Linked DNA regions of Mytilus edulis. The protein of the gene in region 3 interacts with the protein of the main gene of each other region in a biochemical or structural test. Links are inferred from orthologs where the notes say so. Each region holds a gene or a part of one and is shown on either strand. Other genes may lie near its edges. The genes, in order: mitogen-activated protein kinase kinase kinase 1-like, mitogen-activated protein kinase kinase kinase 4-like and dual specificity mitogen-activated protein kinase kinase 4-like.

Evidence for each region.
Region 1: of the proteins of dual specificity mitogen-activated protein kinase kinase 4-like (region 3) and mitogen-activated protein kinase kinase kinase 1-like, one has a biochemical effect on the other in vitro, tested with the Homo sapiens proteins (7 studies listed by BioGRID and IntAct, with this or other methods). The link is inferred for Mytilus edulis from reciprocal best matches to the Homo sapiens genes MAP2K4 and MAP3K1.
Region 2: the proteins of dual specificity mitogen-activated protein kinase kinase 4-like (region 3) and mitogen-activated protein kinase kinase kinase 4-like form a complex in vitro, tested with the Homo sapiens proteins (2 studies listed by BioGRID, with this or other methods). The link is inferred for Mytilus edulis from reciprocal best matches to the Homo sapiens genes MAP2K4 and MAP3K4.

Annotation. Positions count from the first base shown.
Region 1 is NC_092344.1:5,536,306-5,543,229, reverse strand, and holds the start of mitogen-activated protein kinase kinase kinase 1-like, read left to right. Parts: upstream 1-3,809; 5' UTR 3,810-4,160; coding exon 4,161-4,348; intron 4,349-5,891; coding exon 5,892-5,954; intron 5,955-6,924. UniProt on the Homo sapiens protein: Component of a protein kinase signal transduction cascade. Activates the ERK and JNK kinase pathways by phosphorylation of MAP2K1 and MAP2K4. May phosphorylate the MAPK8/JNK1 kinase.
Region 2 is NC_092353.1:29,922,514-29,930,159, forward strand, and holds the start of mitogen-activated protein kinase kinase kinase 4-like, read right to left. Parts: upstream 3,086-7,646; 5' UTR 3,062-3,085; coding exon 2,988-3,061; intron 874-2,987; coding exon 34-873; intron 1-33. UniProt on the Homo sapiens protein: Component of a protein kinase signal transduction cascade. Activates the CSBP2, P38 and JNK MAPK pathways, but not the ERK pathway. Specifically phosphorylates and activates MAP2K4 and MAP2K6.
Region 3 is NC_092352.1:46,581,181-46,588,466, forward strand, and holds the start of dual specificity mitogen-activated protein kinase kinase 4-like, read left to right. Parts: upstream 1-4,265; 5' UTR 4,266-4,490; coding exon 4,491-4,539; intron 4,540-7,286. UniProt on the Homo sapiens protein: Dual specificity protein kinase which acts as an essential component of the MAP kinase signal transduction pathway. Essential component of the stress-activated protein kinase/c-Jun N-terminal kinase (SAP/JNK) signaling pathway.

The DNA.
Region 1 (6,924 bases), on a different chromosome or scaffold from region 3:
TTACAATTTCAGGTGGTGTTGCTATGTAGACTAATTTCTAGAGGATAATTTTATCAGATCAGAGGCGGATTTAAAGGTTTTTTTGGGGGGCCTGCCCCCCTCCTCCACTTTTTCTGGGAAAAATTTGGTTGATTATATAGGGAATCAATGAAGCATGACTAGAGCGACCCCCCTCTTAAGCAGTCAGTTGGCCCCCACTTAATAAATTTTCTGGATCCCCCACTGCAGATCCAAATTAAAGATTCTTACAGCCTCTGTAGATGTTATAGTTTCATTGTCTCAAATGTTGTTGGCTTGGCAGTGGTAGATGTTTCATAACAAATTTACTCTAAGAAATAATTGAAAGACAGGCATGTTAGTTTTGCACAGATCAAAATGAAAGTTAATAGACCACTTTAGAAAAAGTTTTTAGTGTATGTGTGCCTTTATGACTTTTATCTAAAATAAAGCAGTTCTGTATGTTTTCCCTAACAACAGCTAGCAGTGCTGATTATTAATCATAAGAATTTAGTTTGCCGATAAATTCCTGCAATATAGCATAAAAAAAAATCATATTTTTCAACTGCCCAATATCGGAAGGAAGTGACAATGCACCTAAACGCACAAATGATGTTCTTTACCTCTTTTTTTTTTTTACCTTTTAGGGTCTTTTTAAGAAAGTAAGTCCTTATGAAGATATATTTAACCTAGCGTTTCCATATTAATCTCACCTTCAGGTACATGTGCACCAATCTTACTCCTAATTACCCAGTATATAATTGCTATTTTCTTATTGGCCATGTACCACTTGGGACATGTAATAAAAGTCGTTTTAGACATATTATAGTTGTATATATACTTTCATTTATATACCTTTTATAACTTTAAAAATAATTGTATTGCACTTTTATAGTAATGGTGTAAAAAAAATTCGTTTGTTGCTGTGTTACAAAAATGTTTTCCATTCATTATTTTGTACTTAAATAAGGCTGTTAGTTTTCTCGTTTGAATTGTTTTACATTTGTAATTTAGGGGCCTTGCATAGCTGACTATGTAGAATGGGATTTGCTCATTGTTGAAGGCTGTACGGTGAAGTCTAGTTGTTTATTTCTGTGTCATTTGGTCTATTGTGGCGAGTTGTCTTGTTGGCAAATATACCACATCAAATCTTCTTTTTAAATGTAGATGAAATTTTTAAAAAATGATTTATTTTATGGTTTTTAACCATAATAAACATTTTATCCATTTTAAGGTTATATTTATATAAAAAAAAAAGGAGACCGAAAATCTATATGGTCACATGTACAATAGAATAAGAGATATTTTATGATGTCGGTACCAGTATTTAGATGACTTCCACATGATCTTTACAAATGTGGACAGTCTTGTTTAGAAATGATTTAATGGAATAACAAGTTGATTGGTTTATTATGACACACACACATTTGTCAATCACTTAGACATTACTTTTATCACTGAGCTAATCATGTAATATAACTGTGGTGGAATCAATCATCTAAATAATATATTTATTTTAAAAAAAATATTCTTTTCAATTCCAAGACAGCTTTATCATAAAATTTTGAAGCAAAACATCAACATTTTTTTTCAAAGCATTTTTTTATGGATCATTTGGCAAAACAGATGTGGAGGTATATATTTTCAATACTTAAAAATATAAGAAAATTTAATCTTTGCCTGTCTGTACTGACTGGACATTTTCTAAGTCTAATCATCATGATCATATACATTTTGTAGATGAAGATTGTGTGTATATATATATAGAAATATTTATTAAAGTCATATGAAACGAGTGACCAATGAAAAATAATGTTTATCCAATTCTTGAACCAATGCATGTATATTCATAAACGTAGTCTTCTGTGCACGATTTTATCTTTTTTTACTCAACCATATTATCGCATAATCGTCATTTTTTTTTTCTCTCTGTCTGTTATGAAGTGAAAATATGGCAGCTACTTAAATGTCGTGTTTTGAAGCTGAAGTTTGCCAATTGTCACCTTATTGTAAACAATAAAAAAAGCATCGATATTTAGCACGTGTATAACATGTACAATCAGATAATAGTTTATTTTAATGACAGATCCATGCATATTGCGATCACCGGATTTTTACGAGAAGGGTCACGCTGAGGTCATATTGTATACGGAAAATATGTGGGCGAATTGCTTCCTGGAAGCAAGGAATTAAAATAAAGTAAACTTCTTCTAAATATGGACAGATTAAAGAATTTTCTTCAGAAAAAAATATATGTACATAAGTTTTATAATGAAAACTATCCATTTAGTTATAAAAAACATATTCATCATTTTTTTTAATTTGAGGTATCATATGACTTTAAAACATCTTATTTTTTTTCTCCAAAACTTTAATAAGAACTGATAACAAAAAGGCATAATTGACTGGAATCGGGTCTGTTCGCCCTGATTACATGTTTGCCCTTGGTCCGGTCGCCCTGAGTTCGTTCGCCCATAGAGTCTGTTCGCCCTGCATACTTTTATTTCAAAATATTAATTTTAAGCCTTTAAGGGCATAAAGTTTACTAAAACTTATTCAGATATTTGTATGGTATAAATTCTCGACATTCATGAAAAAACATGGAAATATTTAAAAGTTGATGGCTTATTTGGGAGCATTAATTGTTCAATGATATAATAATAATTCTCACTGCTTGTTTAATGTCTTTCAAACTTATCTTTGTTGGATAAATAATAAAAATAACGTTTTGTTTTGATAAATTTGTCAGCTTGAAATGACTGTAAAGCAGTCATTTATGAATTGTAAAACATAGAAAGAATTTACAAGTTCATTTATTCCTATATTATACTGCATAAATTGACTTGATAGAATTATTTAAACTGTAACAGTTATAACACATATCAATAAAGATAAATACATTGTATTCAAGTATTCTACTACATTTGTATGCAAATAAAACGGAAACTGATTATTTGGTTGCAGTAATACAAATATTGAGCGAATTTGTCATCAATATTTATCATACTCTGTACAAATAATGAACATTATGCAAGTAGACAATAATAATAAAATAAAAAAATCAGGGCAAATGGACCCTGGGCGAACAGGTATCAGGGCGAATAGGTACCAGGGCGAACGTGAATCAGGGCAGACGGACCCTGATTCTAATGGACTGTAATGACCAAGGCCAAGTGGTGATAGGCCAAAACAACACATGGACTTTAACATATCTGAAGCCCCAAACATCATGAACATCACACATAAATTTGCTTCATGAAAAAATTCTTCTTCTTTATACATGTATTTACGGAATGCCATCAACTTTTTGGGAATTACTTTCCGGTATTACTGAAGCAACAGCCCTGGTATCCAGACAATTTGCTGTTAAATGATCATGCAATTCTCTCAAGTCTACACTAGTCACTCATGAGCCATAAGTCTATAAGTGCAAAATTATATCCTATTTATTTTTTTAGGGGAGGTCACTGATTTTAATTAATTTTAGAGGGGAAAATTCTGACTGCAATTATTTGTCTGCAGTGATATGATATCATATATATTTTATAGGATGATCCTCGGGTGTTAAAGGGTCTTGCACATTGACATTTAATGTTACCCTACCATTTAACAATGTGCTTGACGTTGTCAACAACAACTACCAAGTTGATCGTTTTCTCCTTTTCGTAATCAATTATTATGTAGCATGAAAAGGGAAATAACTAGCCAAGCACCTGTCCTCCTTTCGAAATTTCTAGACTGATCCTTTCTTCAGAAGCTAATTTTCGAAAATTCCGAGAATTTACATAGATCAGGCAGACGTTTTTACATACGTGATGATTCACCTGCTATTGAGCTTGTAAGAGACATCATTGTAAATAAAATTGGAAATGAACTAAGAAAGTTGGTTTGTAAACAAAATGAGGTGGTAAAAACAAGGGTATTCCTACCGGAAATAGCTGTGCTAGATAAATAATAAACCGCATACCAAAATAAGATAACATTTTGAATTGAATGCCATCGAAATGTAACTACAGAAACGTTTGCAAATACATCTTTTGTTGTATTTGGCGCTTGTTTATTTATAATTTGTCTGCATGTCGTCAATAATTTAGTTAGAATTACAATGAAATGAATGGTGAAAGCAGTCTTTGAGCTTTATGTGACATGATACTCCGTGAAATATGGAATCAGCTACATTAGCAAATGATGACGCTGAAACAAGTAAGCAGTCACAGACAAATGGTTTTTTCTTCGAGGATACAGATTTTAAACCAAATTGTATAGATTCTGAGGAATATCTTGGACCTCATGATTGGAGAAAGATTCTGAGACCAATCGAAGATGGAAATTTAAAGTCACAATCAGCAAGGTTATAATTGTATTTTATAAAAGTAATATTTAAATATGACTGCACAGATGTATAATGTAGTTTTACCAACATTTTCATGTTTCAATGGGCTGTCTCAAACTATAAAAAAGTTTTAAAGCTTGACTTATAGATGAATATTAGTATACAGAAATCATAAGCTACATGTATATTTGTAGCAGTCAGATGTTACATGTCTGTTTAAAACAACTGCACAAGCTCTTCAGATAAGTTGCATCCAATGGGGATTGCACTTCAATTGTTTGACAAATTAAATAATCATAAGCAACACAATATTTATTCTTTATCGCTCAACCAAGTGTAAATGTCAAGTTTTGATGAGGTGACTTCATTTTCCAATAAAAACCCTTGCATGGCTGGTTTGTAGTTTTCTTGTATGCAGGAAAGCTTTGTTAGGGATAAAATAATGATTAGAAACTCAAATAAAAAAATTCATTTCTAGATTTAAGTCAAGATACAAATGTATGCAGCAGACTTAGTTGTATTATTTGTATCTTACAAAAATGTAGCTACACCATCCTTTATTACAGGGTCAATTGGATAGATGCAATCAACAAACTTTGGTTTATCAATGAATATTAACAGAAATACATGTATATCTATATGCATTTAGCGAACATGAAGTTAAAGGTCAATAACTAGCTTTGTTAAATTCTTCTGGAACAGTCACTGAATTAAGTTTACCCAAAATGAATTAAGGAACACATGAGAAGTATTGAATCTTTTTTAAAACATACCATTTTCAATGTTAATTTAGAAATCAAGCATTTCTTATTGCTTATAATCAAACATGTACATGTAATGCATATTTACACGTGTAGATCATGAAAAAACTGCTATTTTTTAACATACATTTGTAATTGAATTAAATAACATGCAGCACACTTTTTTTTCTAAACATACATGTACATGTGTATATGTATCATGTACATTCCAATTAACAGCAATTTATATACATGAATATGTTTGCTCATCTACATCTACATGTAATTGGTTTTTATTTTGATGTTAAAGGCTAGTTCTGTTTTTTTCTTTCTATTGAAGTAGAAAGCAGACATATCTGTAAAATGCAAGATTCAGATTATATAACTGATTAAAATGGTTACGTCTCAAAATTATTGACAGAAGTCATTTTATATTCTTTTAATTGTTCTGAATATATTTACCACTTGAGTTGAATTTCACGAAAAATAAAATTAATGGATTTTTTTTTTTATCATTCAATATACAATTGTATATAATATGAATAAGGTGCATAATGCATGTATATTATGCATATAATTGCAGATTTCAAGAAAGGAATGACGCAATTCTGTAGTTGAGGAAAATACAATTTTTAGCATATTTGAGTGTGACAATGTTGAATTGTTATAGAAAACAAAACAGGCCCCACATGCACCATGTTACAGAATTTACATCATTTTCCCAAAATCTTTTATATCCATTCCAAACCTTGGAATAGATCATCCTCTTGGCTGTCTTAGTATCTTTGATTTTTACTGACAGTTTTATTTGTTATGTCTAGATGTGAAAGCAATGAAGACCAGAGGATAGCTACAAACTTAAGTGTGACAGAGTCAGAAAACAAGTATAGCTTTGAGTGTTTATGTTGTAGCACCCCAATACTCCTTCAGTCATCATATAATTACTTCACCATTTAACACATTGATTTTATAGAGACATGAATGTTCTTTTGAGTTGTAGAAATACATACAGTACCTATATAGATATGGAATTGATTTTTGAATCACATTTATAATGCAATGAATTGTAAATATAGTTGGTAAATGGCCATCACTTTTTTGCACATGTCATTTATTTGTACTACCTCCCTGCATGTTCACGACATTGTATAAAATTCATGACTGTCATTTTCTTTTAAAACCATATAAGTAAGTGTCAACTATCCAGATACTGAATGAAACTCTGAATATATTCTTCTTAAGTTTTGAAATTTCCCATGGAGTCTCGCAGGGAAGTCAAAAGTTCATCTTTGGCAATGTTTGGAGAACCAATTTCCCAATTTTGTTTTATATGATTTAGTGTCCATAAGCAACCTGATACTTATATCCAAATAGTCTATTATTAATTGTAATCATTTAGATAATGATCATAAGAATATTTGAAAAAAAGTATTTTCAATTTTTCTGAGAAAAGAAAAAAAAACTATGTAAAATATTTACAATGACAAATTTCCCATTAAATAGTTCTGGAGGTTTGAAAAGTTGACAGCCACTTGTATGTGAAAGAAAGTCTGTCAATAAATTATATTATATCTTCACATTTTTGTTAAAACAATTATCTGGTTTTCAGATTCATGTCATTCAAAATTCAGATATAATTAGGTTCTTATTTATTTCCTGTTTAAAAGTTCAATTTTGTACAGACCCTCTTGTTTCAATGACTGGGTATCTAAGATATTCAAAAGGGTAAACGACTTTCATCTCTTCACTGTGTTTCATTTGTATAGATACAAATCTTAGAACAATACTTGAAAATGGTCTTTAACTAAATAGATATCCACCTTTAATTTCATATTGTTTATATTTATACATCAT
Region 2 (7,646 bases), on a different chromosome or scaffold from region 3:
TTGAATAGACATACATGTAACATTTCTACTAACCAGAGATAATCCACAAAATGCTGTTGCCACAGTTCTTGTTCAGAGCTTATTTGTCGACGATATGCTCCAAATTTATCTTTTCTGTTATGATCTTTCTCCTTCTTAGGTTGAGAGCCCATCTGAATAAGAGCAGAGAAGATTTTGTAGAAATCACTTCTGTCCTTTGGACAATCTGGACAGACTACAGATAATCTTCTGCTATCAGGCTTTGATGGACCCCAAGAACTGTTCAAGCTACTGGATAAGTTTAGCGAATTTGTCAAAGTTATTGTCAGAGGCGATGGTCGATTTATTAAGGAAGAAAACCTTCCCGACAAGTCAATCCTTGGAGGGTTGGTCGATGAAAATCTACCAGACGTTGTCAAAGAAACATCTGCTGTATTTGTATCTAGATTTGACAAGTCACCAGAAGTAGCCTTCAAATGTCTATCATAACTCCTTGAAGTTTTCAGAATTTTTTTCTTGGTGCTTCGATTATCTTTGTTCAACTTTTCTGAATCTTGTGAGAAATCCCTTTCAAGGTTGTCATCGGAATCAACTCCACTGAGTTTACAAAATACCGGATTGTCTGCATACTGATCTTTTATAATGTTGACTGGAGTTTTTGGCTGAGGTTTCTTTTTAGTAGCCATATACTCCTTGTATGACATTTTCCTTTGATTAGAGTGTTTTTTGCTTTTTTCAAGTTTTGCACCCCTTGGATTGGCGGGTGGTGTTGTGCCATACACCATATTGGAATACATATTGTCTGGTAGAGATTCAACAGAATTGAACTGATCTTCAAATTCTTCTTCACTAATGTCTGCATCATGACTTTGTTGGTGGAAAAATTTAGTTTCACTAAAAAATAAATACAACAGATCATTTATTATTGTACATTCATATACAGGTGTAAAAAAATGTATGTAAACAATTGTAGAAGTCCTAACATAATTCAAATATATTTAGTTATCAAACCTCACATCGTAAAAAGACATATTGAAAAAGTGCCAATAAAACAAGGACTTAATGGATGTGCTCAGAAATTTAAACTTTTTAAAGGTCATCATGTCATATAAACATGTCAACATCCCACCTAAGAATTGGTTTCGGTGTTATCCATTGTTTAGACTAAACATTGCTAAAAGCTCTCAAGAGCCCCTCACTCACCTGATTCTACTTCCATGACTTCATGTACATTGGTTTTGGAAATCATGTAAAAAATTATTGTCCATAAAATCCTGTATTAACTGTTGTCCCCCCTGGCAGCCATCTTTGATGATGGATCAACTGATGGATTAACCATTCAAGATCTTGTCCCCAGGATTTTTATGCCCCACCTACGATAGTAGAGGGGCATTATTTTTTCTGGTCTGTGGCTCGGTTCGTCCGTCCGTCTGTGGTTCAGTTCGTCCGTCCAGGTTAAAGTTTTTGGTCAAGGTAGTTTTTGATGAAGCTGAAGTCTAATCAACTTGAAACTTAGTATACTTGTTGCTTATTAAGTACATACAATGTGCATGTACTTTCATAAATTTGCTAAATGCTTGTGGATTACTCCTTTCATCTTTGAAACTACCATGTGTCAGATATTTTAATATGCTACATTTTTAGCTCATCAGATTTTCACACAGTCAACAGGAAAGTTTTACCCATATATGACACTGGAAATGATACGCTTTTGCGAATGTGAGAATGCAATCCACATCATTTTTTTATATCCTGTTTGCATTCTGTGATGAAATGAATGGGTTTATAACAAATTTTAAGTGAAAGATTACAAGTTAGATACATATACACTTGCAGCACTGTAACACTTAATTAATTTTAATGACATTTTATTGATATTTATCAGAAATTAAAACATGTATAAGTTTAATAACGAATATGTTTTGAACACATGTCCATTTCCGTATTGTGTTTTTATTAACTTTATATGACCTGACGATGAAATTAGCTACAATAAGTAATGTCAAGTCCAGTCAATATACACATGATATATGTTCCTGCTTTCACTCAGTTGGTAGTCAGACATCATCACGACCACCAATAGGAATTCCGTGGACTACCTGATTTTTGTTTTTCCAGTCCAACAGTTCCAGAAAAGACTGTAAGTGGCGACTGCATGAAGGTGTGAAATTCTCATCAACGTTTGGCCTTCTTTTACTTTAAGGGTCACTATATTCAGAGCTATGGTTTGTTCTTGGTTATTGTTAGGTTACAGAATGTTCTAGGTTAGAACTAAGGGTTAGGTTTTAGGGTTTAGAGCTAGTGTTAGGTTTAGGTATGGTGTAGGCATACCTGCCAACTTTTCAAAATGCCCATGGGGGTTTTGTTTGCAAGATGGCTCTCATAGTCCTACAAAACCTTTAATGGGGCCTTCAAATATATTTTAATGTTGTTTTTTTTGTCTTCTTTATACTTTTACAAGCCTATATAGCCATTGTAAAATTAATTGTTTTGTTTAAATTGTGGCCACAATTGCTCTTTTAAAATTATTATTTGAGAGCCTCCATGGGGGAAATACCCCGCAAATAGTGACAGTTGGCAGGTATGGGTAGGGTAAGGTTTGGAGTTAAGGATAGTTTAGTATACATTTGTAGCTCTATATGGGTTGGGACCCTCAAGTTTAAGAATAGACCATACGCAAAAAATCTTAAGAGCACTGTCAGATGTATATGTATTTTTTATGTCTGTTGCTATTGTTTGCGTTTAATTAACAAATTAAGTATACTTCATTGATAACAAAGTGGTTATATATTCATTGTGATAATGCATGTTTTGATTACGATTCCATTATGCCGTACATAGTATACGAGAATACGTAGTATTTCTGGCCCGTTTCTCAGTTCAGGAATGTGGTAAAACAGACGATTTAAGCATTCGAATTCATGAAAAATTCTCAAAGATGTGCAAAAATAAATATTCAAATGCTTCAACTATCATTATGAGAGGTTGCATACTAGCAATGCACTTACGTCTCGTCGTGCAAAGGGTTGTAATCCTCATTTGGCGATGCTGACCTGGGATACTTTGTCCCATCAGCCGCCATGACAGATTATCACGGAAAGTCACGCGTGATTTCTATTTTTAGCAACACAAGGGATTTACCCATTTGCTGTGTTTTTATGTAAACAATTTTTGGGGTTCATTCATCTATGCCAACATTTCAAAAATGAAATTTTGGCATTGGTTGAATACAAATTTAACAAAAACATAGATCGATTAGCGTTTTAGTGTTCCTAAACCTGTTTTTGATGCAATATTTATTAAAGTCTCACCATCAATGATTTACAAATCACCACAAGCACATAAATCTCAGAATTTTTTATCTCTTATTTTAAGGTATAAAAAAAAATAAAAAAATTCTGAGACAAGTGCTTGTGCAAGTCATCAAGTCCTTGGTCTCATGCATTTTTTTTTTTTACTTAATTGTAAACTATAGATTTATATAAAATAAAGAGCCATTTCATACCGAACTTAAAGAGAGGAATTGTCATCACAAAACATCATATTGTACATGTTGTATTCATGAAAATAAAGATGACTGTATATGTTTGTTCAATATTTATGAAAGTGAATTAGTCAGTGAAATAAAAATATCGCTGTTACGCTAGTTTGGTCCAATGTTGTCAAAATAAACAAAAAAAACATGGCTCAGTGATGATATATTCACTTGCAAGTGAATAATTCGAAATCATTGAATCCGTATTCACATAACAATTTAACCCTTTATCAGGCTAACAGATGCATGAATCAGTAGACGTGTTCAGTTTATAAAAAAGAAACAGGAAAGTGTAACATGAATAAACATGAATAAACATTTCGATTCACTGCATCGACAAACAAAAATTCATTATTATACATATAAAAAACGATGATTAACATATCTTTTACAAATTAAACAAACAGATCAAGAAAAATTCAATTTCTATCTATTTCTATTTAGATATTTATGTTTCTATCTGGTTATATGACCGTTAAATTGGCAGTCTTCTTATGCCATCTCGATGCTTGACAACATGGCGTCTGAACTAGAATACATGTATACGAAAATCTGATAAATATTAACCAGACCAATCATCGTAATATGTTTATTTAATTTTAGACTTTTTAAAACTTGGACATACGGGTATGTTATTAATCAAATATGATAATTTGACTCAAATCGTTGAACATGAATTTGACAGCTAATGCCCCTTTCACGTGTTTCTTTTTATTCGGAATCAAGATGATAAAATCAAGTATTTTTGTTAATTTATCCATGTTATCAGAGGAATAATTATCCGTTTATAACAAAAAAATAACAGTCCCAAAAAAGATTGTGATGAATATAGAACAACATAAGATGAAAATATGTAATGATAACTTTAATTTATCTATTTGACCCAGCTAATATTAAGTGTTCTAAAGTAATATTAATTCTTGTCAATTTTTTAGTTATCATATTTACTGTAGCAAGCATGGTATTGTTTTTTTGTTCTTCAATATCAGTAATTTGTAATGCTTGAAAGTACTGACTGTATTTTCCTGTGATTTTTTACTGACTGCTTTTTCAGTATTCTTCGTCATTTTAGCTTCATCTATAGTTATCCTGTTTAATGCTATTTTCTGTACTATAAGTGCAGTATCAGAAGTACTATATTGTTATGATATCCTGTCTGGTCTATATCCTTTTCGACTGCCTTGTCTTATATTTACTGTTTCCTTTTTTATTATTGGTGTTGTTTTGTACACCCCGTTTAGTTATATATTTTATTTATTTATTGTGTACAGTATCGTTTCTCATAACGACCCAGTGCCTATCTATATATGTACATTGGAACAACGGACGCCGGACTGATACAAGTTGTTATAGTCGTCAACAGCTATATTTAGATCTTTAGTAAGATTTCCAATAAGAAAACTATCCACCAGAGACCAGATGACGTGGATGTGATATATAAGCAAGTGTAGGTCAATGAACGACCTTCAACAACGTGCAGAACATATTCCGTATCAGTAACTATGATAATTATTCAGCTAAAACATTGCATTTGATGTTTAAGGGGAGAAAGATAAATTCATAACTTTTAAAGAGCTTAAATTTTTAATTATTTTTTTATTAGCATATTATTTAAGATTTTATATCAATTCTACTTTTTTGTTCTTTTAAAGGAGACGTGACACAATTTTTTTTTTTTTTTTTTTTTTGATTAATTAATAAATATTGGTAAAAAAATATATTGTAATAAATTTTTCTTGTCAAAACATCATTTAACGGCCTTTAAATGGTCAAAGAATCCAGCGCTTGTCGTAATCTTTGATTTTTAATGAGATACCGGTCACGTGATCGTGATGACGTCAGTGGATACAAGCCGAGAAAATGTCTCAATGAGGACGAAGTCGATCATATTTCTGCATCATTAAACAATGGACAGTGTTAGCATCAGTTTTCAAGGCAACTCTCTAACTTTAGATATTCGACCGTATCATTTTGAGCCGTTACTTGTAGAAAAAAATTAAGTAGAAGATATAAATTCGTCATCCGACATTGACGATCTTTCAAGCAATGTCGATATAATATAAAAATACTATATCAATAATTAATTTCACCAAAAATAAAGATACATTTCTTAAAATGTTTGAGTGAAATTTAATTACATTTAATAAGAGAAAAGGATAGGTTATAAAGAATGTAGGACAGAAAGTCACAGGACAAAAAGTCACGGACAAATCGTCACAGTACAAAAAGTCACAATTTATTTTCGAAATTATTTTTCTAATAACAAGGAAAAATTAATTTAGAAAAATACAAAATTTTTGATTTATTATATATGAAGTAACTCTTTGTTACTGAAAATTATTCAATAGATATCAATAATCAAATAATTGTTATAAAAATAACATGTCTAAGTGGCTTGATATCTATAAATGGCTTCATATTGGCGTCAGATATATCCTTTGCATGATAAAATTTTTATTTTTTTTCATCAATCAAGCTTCATGAAAAATTTCTTAAACAAGCAAATGAATAAAAATAATAGAATAACTATCACCTTACCAAGTATGACGGGTGTAAAATTTGAATCACTAAAGCTGTCACCAATAAATGTGTTATAAGTATGACATAACAGTGGGTTTCGGGGGGGGGGGGGGAGGGGGGGTATGAAAAGAAATATTTTAAGAAGTTGTAAAACAGTAAAATAAATCCATATGTCTCTTCTCCTCCATAATAATCCCATTGAAAATGTTCTATGAGTACTGTCTTTTTTTTTAATATTTTTTCTGTGTGGTATATCTTCAGTCTTTAAATTGTTTTGTATTTTGTGACTTCTATCTAACTTCGACAAAGTCTGGCATAGGGGCCGTATAATATGAAAAATGAAAGCTTACAGTATTGACGGAAACTTATTGAATTGGTTTCAGGACTATCTTCACGACAGAAAACAGAGAGCAGTAATGCATAACGGAAATTTGAAAAAAACACGATAAACGATTATATAAAATTGAAACGTTTCATTTGTACGGCCCAATAACGCAATTGAGATGTTCCCATTCATTTATATTATAAATGATCCTTCTTGTCATTGTGGGTCAGATATTGAGGATGTCTACCATTACTTCTTTGTTTGTCCAAAATACACATCATGCAGAAAAACCTTATTCAATAATCTTAACTGGCTATCTGAAAGCATTGTGAAAAAAATGTTGATCTAAGAAGTATTTGTTTTGTAGTTTTAATTTTTTTTTAATTTTGAAAAGTGCGTATGCATTTAATGAGCATGAGGTAAAAGTGTCTCATATGTCTTGTTAGGCAGGAATCTAATATATTTTTATGCTGATTTTATCTTATGTATAATATATTGTGTATAATGTTAGATTGTGACACTGTAATAAACTTCTTACTTTAAAACTACCAGGGACTTTCTATGTTAGTATAGAAATTCCCTGTTACTATACTACTAAATGAAAAGTCACTGATAAAAGCGACAAGCACTGCGTGAATATTTAAAAAAAATATATATGTATTACATGTTAAAGAACAATCCAATTATAATATTGCAATGAACATAATAAAAAATTGTAAGTGTGCATTAAAGTAAAATCTAATACACAGTTGTATTAGGATGAGATTTTCCTTCAAAACTGTCGAAAATGTTGACTGACGCATGGATTTACCCTGTATGTCATGATTAAGACCAGGGGCGGATCCAGCCATTTTAAAAAAGGGGGGGGGGGTTCCTAACCCAGGACAAAGGGGGGTTCCAATTACATGTCCCCATTCAAATGCATTGATCGTCAAAAAAAAAGGGGGGGTTCCAACCCCCGGAACCCCCCCTCTGGATCCGCGCCTGAAGACGATGATTGGGTTACATGTTTAAACAAACAAGATGTTTGGTGAGCTATTGCAAATTGATGACATCCGTTTTTTTTTAGCTCACCTGGCCCAAACGGCCAAGTGAGCTTTTCCCATCACTTTGCGTCCGGCGTTCGTCGTCCGTCGTCCGCCGTCGTTAACTTTTACAAAAATCTTCTCCTCTGAAACTACTGGGCCAAATTAAACCAAACTTGGCCATAATCATCATTGGGGTATCTAGTTTTAAAAATGCGTCCGGTGACGCGGCCAACTATCCAAGATGGCCGCCATGGCTAAA
Region 3 (7,286 bases):
TATGAATAAAGCCCCATAAATCCAAAACTTAAAATCTGAAATTAAAAAAAAAAAACGAAAGGGAGCTTACGTCAATAGATATAAACAATTCACTTAGTTTCATGGACAGTGGTGAAAGCCTTTTTGAGTTATTGTCCGAAGTGTTGAAAATCCCCCTTTTTTATGAATAAAGCCCCATAAATCCAAAACTTAAAATCTGAAATTGATAAAAATTGAAAGGGAGCTTACATTAATAGATATAAACAATTCACCAAAGTTTCATGGACATTGGTGAAAGCCTTTTTGAGTTATTGTCCGAAGTGTTGAAAATCCCCCTTTTTTTATGAATAAAGCCCCATAAATCCAAAACTTAAAATCTGAAATTAAAAAAAACCGAAAGGGAGCTTACGTCAATAGATATAAACAATTTACTTAAGTTTCATGGACATTGGTGAAAGCCTTTTTGAGTTATTGTCCGAAGTGTTGAAAATCCACCCTTTTTTATGAATAAAGCCCCATAAATCCAAAACTTAAAATCTGAAATTAAAAAAAAAACGAAAGGGAGCTTACATCAATAGATATAAACAATTACTTAAGTTTCATGGACATTGGTGAAAGCCTTTTTGAGTTATTGTCCGAAGTGTTGAAAATCCCCCCTTTTTTTATGAATAAAGCCCCATAAATCCAAAACTAAAAATCTGAAATTTATAAAAATTGAAAGGGAGCTTACATTAATAGATATAAACAATTCACCAAAGTTTCATGGACATTGGTGAAAGCCTTTTTGAGTTATTGTCCGAAGTGTTGAAAATCCCCCCTTTTTTTATGAATAAAGCCCCATAAATCCAAAACTTAAAATCTGAAATTAAAAAAAAACGAAAGGGAGCTTACGTCAATAGATATAAACAATTTACTTAAGTTTCATGGACATTGGTGAAAGCCTTTTTGAGTTATTGTCCGAAGTGTTGAAAATCCCCCTTTTTTTATGAATAAAGCCCCATAAATCCAAAACTTAAAATCTGAAATTTAAAAAAAAACGAAAGGGAGCTTACGTCAATAGATATAAACAAGTCACTTAAGGTTCATGGACAGTGGTGAAAGCCTTTTTGAGTTATTGTCCGAAGTGTTGAAAATCCCCCTTTTTTTTATGAATAAAGCCCCATAAATCCAAAACTTAAAATCTGAAATTTAAAAAAAAAACGAAAGGGAGCTTACGTCAATAGATATAAACAAGTCACTTAAGGTTCATGGACAGTGGTGAAAGCCTTTTTGAGTTATTGTCCGAAGTGTTGAAAATCCCCCTTTTTTTTATGAATAAAGCCCCATAAATCCAAAACTTAAAATCTGAAATTGATAAAAATTGAAAGGGAGCTTACATTAATAGATATAAACAATTCACTAAAGTTTCATGGCCATTGGTGAAAGCCTTTTTGAGTTATTGTCCGAAGTGTTGAAAATCCCCCTTTTTTTTATGAATAAAGCCCCATAAATCCAAAACTTAAAATCTGAAATTAAAAAAAAACGAAAGGGAGCTTACGTCAATAGATATAAACAATTTACTTAAGTTTCATGGACATTGGTGAAAGCCTTTTTGAGTTATTGTCCGAAGTGTTGAAAATCCACCCTTTTTTATTAATAAAGCCCCATAAATCCAAAACTTAAAATCTGAAATTAAAAAAAAACGAAAGGGAGCTTACGTCAATAGATATAAACAAGTCACTTAAGGTTCATGGACAGTGGTGAAAGCCTTTTTGAGTTATTGTCCGAAGTGTTGAAAATCCCCCTTTTTTTTATGAATAAAGCCCCATAAATCCAAAACTTAAAATCTGAAATTGATAAAAATTGAAAGGGAGCTTACATTAATAGATATAAACAATTCACTAAAGTTTCATGGCCATTGGTGAAAGCCTTTTTGAGTTATTGTCCGAAGTGTTGAAAATCCCCCCTTTTTTATGAATAAAGCCCCATAAATCCAAAACTTAAAATCTGAAATTAAAAAAAAACGAAAGGGAGCTTACGTCAATAGATATAAACAATTTACTTAAGTTTCATGGACATTGGTGAAAGCCTTTTTGAGTTATTGTCCGAAGTGTTGAAAATCCACCCTTTTTTATTAATAAAGCCCCATAAATCCAAAACTTAAAATCTGAAATTAAAAAAAAACGAAAGGGAGCTTACATCAATAGATATAAACAATTTACTTAAGTTTCATGGACATTGGTGAAAGCCTTTTTGAGTTATTGTCCGAAGTGTTGAAAATCCCCCCTTTTTTATGAATAAAGCCCCATAAATCCAAAACTTAAAATCTGAAATTTATAAAAATTGAAAGGGAGCTTACATCAATAGATATTAACAATTCAACAAAGTTTCATGGACATTGGTGAAAGCCTTTTTGAGTTATTGTCCGAAGTGTTGAAAATCCCCCTTTTTTATGAATAAAGCCCCATAAAGCTAAAACTTAAAATCTGAAATAAAAAAAAAAAACGAAAGGGAGCTTACGTCAATAGATATAAACAATTCACTTAAGTTTCATGGACAGTGGTGAAAGCCTTTTTGAGTTATTGTCCGAAGTGTTGAATATCCCCCTTTTTTATGAATAAAGCCCCATAAATCCAAAACTTAAAATCTGAAATTAAAAAAAAAACGAAAGGGAGCTTACATCAATAGATATAAACAATTCACTTAAGTTTCATGGAAATTGGTGAAAGCCTTTTTGAGTTATTTCCAAAACTTAAAATCTGAAATTGATAAAAATTGAAAGGGAGCTTACATTAATAGATATAAACAATTTACCAAAGTTTCATGGACATTGGTGAAAGCCTTTTTGAGTTATTGTCCGAAGTGTTGAAAATCCCCCTTTTTTTATGAATAAAGCCCCATAAATCCAAAACTTAAAATCTGAAATTAAAAAAAAACCGAAAGGGAGCTTACGTCAATAGATATAAACAATTTACTTAAGTTTCATGGACATTGGTGAAAGCCTTTTTGAGTTATTGTCCGAAGTGTTGAAAATCCCCCCTTTTTTATGAATGAAGCCCCATAAATCCAAAACTTAAAATCTGAAATTAAAAAAAAACCGAAAGGGAGCTTACATCAATAGATATAAACAATTACTTAAGTTTCATGGAAATTGGTGAAAGTGTTTTTGAGTTATTGTCCGAAGTGTGGACGACGCGGGACGGACGGACGGACAACGGTATACCATAATACGTCCCGTCTAAAAGACGACGGGTGTATAAAAACTATAACAGATAGTTAGAAACTGCAATTAGAAACAAATTATCAGCCCCACTCCAAAACTGCCAATTAAAAAAATGTTAGTGCCCGAAAATGACGATGTTTGTCTAATTTTAATGTTTCTTTTAAAATTAGGTCGAAAACAATAATAGATAAAAACTGTAAACTGCAAAGACGAGGAGTGATGTTTTTTAAATGAAGACTTGAGTATAGTTTTCGTTTATGGTCAGTAACTGTTGTCTCGGACACAGGTGCTTGGGTATATGAAACAGATAAAAAAAAATGTTGAGTAAAATATTCAAGAGAAAATACCCAATTTTACTATCCATATAAGAAGCAAATTGGGTATTTTCTCTGAGTCGTTTTAATCACTCGAAACTAGCTGAGACATGCACGAAAGTGATAGATATGTATTATAGATAAAGAAAATTTAATATTTTAATCAACAAAAAAAAAAAACAAAAAAAAAACTCTGTATCATATACCCAAGCGCCTGTGGTCTCGGACACTGTACTAGATAGTAAGAAATTGTAAACAACTAAAATGGTCACCGGATAAGTACAAAGTTAAAAAATATGACCAAACCCAATGGATGACTATATAAGGATGTTTTGCTCTTAAAACGTTTGTTGAATTCTCGTGTTTTTTTTTTAATTCTATATCCGGAAACTATAATGGATGGTCAATTCTGTCAATTGTTTCAAATTGAAAATAAATCAGAAATATAAGATCTACAATATGCGGCAATGCCAAAGGCCATTTGGAAGCTTTTTCAGGGATTTTTGTACTAATCTTAATTACAATTTTGCCAATTATATCAAACTTTATGAAGGAAGAAATCATAATAAGTAAAATGATCATAAATACAAAATTAACAAAAAAACATGTCACAAGCTATAGGACCATTTGCATATTGTCGTTATTACCAGGCCTAAAAAGGAATTAATTTTCCATCCTTCGATTTAATTGATAGCCTACGAGAGGTAACTCTTGTGGATTAACGGAAAATACCGAAAACGTGCGATTGTAGCAGGTGCCCGCTGTTCGGCAGTTCTCGTCAAGACTTTGACGTCACAGGGATTTTCCCAAGAAGACTACGAGTAGATGAGTCATCGCAGAGAAATGAACATCGCTACCCAATCACATTTCCTCTAAGCCCACGATATCTGCTACCTGTTTTACTGTGTTTTTAAGATCACCAGGAATTGGTTTCATGAAAAACACAACTACCATACTGGCAAATACAACCATCAAAATATTAGCCGTTTTTCAAAATGGCGGACCCAGAAAATCCGAATCCAAAAAAGCCGAATGACAACCAAGGTAGCGTACTTGTGGAAATCCATGTTGGTTTTATTTTAGGATGTATGAGTCATACATAAGTGTATGTTTTTACTGTTTAATCATTCACAGAGTAAATGACATTTCAATAAAGAGTAATTATCGACAAACTCTCTTAATGTCAACACAATAACGCAATACATTTCTGATTTAAATAATGTAGTTTGTTGTGGAGTGACACCTCTGACACCTTGATCAATAACATGCTCATGTTTGTTTACCTGTTAAGTAAAGCCATGATAAATTATAAAAAAATAGATATTTAATTTCTTCCTCATGTAAAGAAGATTTTTAGAAAATGAAATGTTATGAGAATTTGACCTATAACTACTATGTAGAAAATCTTAAAATTGTGAATTTTCTAGATTTTGTATAAAGAAAGTGTCAGAGGGTTTCCAATTAAGCAAAATCTCTCTCAGTACATGTGACAATATGTTAAAATTGCTTTCAAAAGTCAAGTATATTGATTTTACCATTTAATCAGTTAAAAAACAGCATTGGAATAAACTTTCGAAGGCGAAAGTAAACACTTCTGTTAAAGGCATTCAAATGATGTGGCATGAAATTTTGACTCAAAATTCAGCCACCACCCTTCTCTTACACGTCGTGAACATATATATCCTCTTCAAGTTCAGTTAAAAGATTGACCTGAATTTGTATCCATTACGAGGGCATTTTGACATGCAAACTTTAAACCAAATCATATAACGTAGGTCTTACGATTTCTGATGAAAACACAATTGTGAAAGTAAAGAAGGAGTATGATTTGCCTAATAGACAATTATCCACTAATGGCTGAAGGAAAGTCATGTCCCTCGTTTGATAATGAGCAAATCTAATACTTTATTATCAGCTATAAAATACATCTGATTGACAAAATATGAAACAATTCAAATGAGAAAATCAACTGCCTGTTTTATAGGTCATCAATTATGACAGACAGCAACCAACACAAACCCCTGGCTCACAGGCTCCTTGCATGGAACTGGCACATAAAATGTTAAAGAAAATCGTTTGGTCAATAATGTTTGTGACTGCTTCCCTGGCTATTGTGACACAAGTGGCAAATCTTCATATTTAATAGCAATAAAAACTTGTCTGAAGTTTACGTTTTTATTTTATTCTTTAACACCATGGACACATTTTTATGCCTCACCTACGATAGTAGAGGGGCATTATGTTTTCTGGTCTGTGCGTCCGTTCGTTTGTCCGTTCGTCCGTCTGTCCCGCTTCAGGTTAAAGTTTTTGGTCGAGGTAGTTTTTGATGAAGTTGAAGTCCAATCGACTTCAAACTTGGTACACCTGTTCCCTATGATATGATCTTTCTAATTTTAATGCAAATTAGAGATTTTACCCCAATTTCACGGTCCACTGAACATAAAAAATGATAGTGCGAGTGGGGCATTCGTGTACTGAGGACACATTCTTGTTGCTAATGTTTTGGTCATGTTGATAATTTTTTGTCTCCAAAAATCAAATTCACTAATTTTAGACGTTAAAAAGGCGCATTTCAGGCAATCCCACTGTTCAACCAAATTCGTAAATTGTTAAACCAAAGAGGCAAAAGTTTGTAAATAACAAGACTATACAAATTCCTTTCACTGAACGATGTACATGTCCATTCCAACTGTTTTTATACATAAATCAGCATTTTATGTCCAAAAGGTATATATATTAGCCTGGCTTCAATTCTTCCAAACTCTTTTAAAATAAAATATTCCGATATTTCAAATTCTAGTTAAATCCGTAAATTTCATTTGATTTTGACACGGTTTTCAACAAACGGAGGTGTCATGTTTACACTTTCATCCAGGCATTCAACAAAGAAAGATAACTTGTGTTTGAAATGTTTTCAATGGCAAATATAAAGGAGATATTCCGATCCATAAACTCGTGGTCAGCTGTCAGAAGTGTTAATTCCAGTAAACAGGGATTTGTCGTCAAAAGTGTTTAAAAGAAAGATTTTGTATTCATTTGCTTTTCATAACTGCTATTTTTGAAACATTTCGGTTTCCTATCCTTTTTATTTGATAATGAAGGGGTCAAATGTTACAAATAATGGTGTTTAATTGTCTGTGTTTTGTGTTATCTGCTGACAAACTGTTATACGTTTGTATTGTTAATTCAAATAAAAAACATTTATCTATGGTCACAAAGTGTAGTAGTAACTGAATCAAGCATTATCATAATATATTATCATGATAATGGAACTAGAAGGACCTAGAAGCAGATGCTGTTAACTAATTTCAAATTTCATTTGTTTTGATGTTCAAAATCGGTCCTGAAATCCCAATATTGTGATCTGATTAAATTTGCTTTCTCAGTTTTTTACGATTTTTAAGACACAACAATTGAACTGATTCAACAAAACAGGATCTGAAAACCTTGTTCAAGGTTTCATCAGAAGTTTTAAAGAAATATAGGTTTTCAGAATGTAAATTTGTCCTTCTATGTGTATTTCAGTTAGAAAATATTGTGCTGTCCAGTGTTCTCCCCAGATATTTTATTTAGCATCCTGGTTAACAGGGGAAATTGAAATACCATCTTGTTTCTAGAAATTATAGCATCACATCCATAACACTATCTATAAGAAAACCATTTCAGATAGCATCACATTACCATGATGCTAAAAGGCCTTGGGGAGAACACTGCTGTCTACAAATTTTGGTTATTCCAGAAATCCCTTTTTGTATTGACTTAAGTTTATGATTGTTGTTACAAGTAGTGCT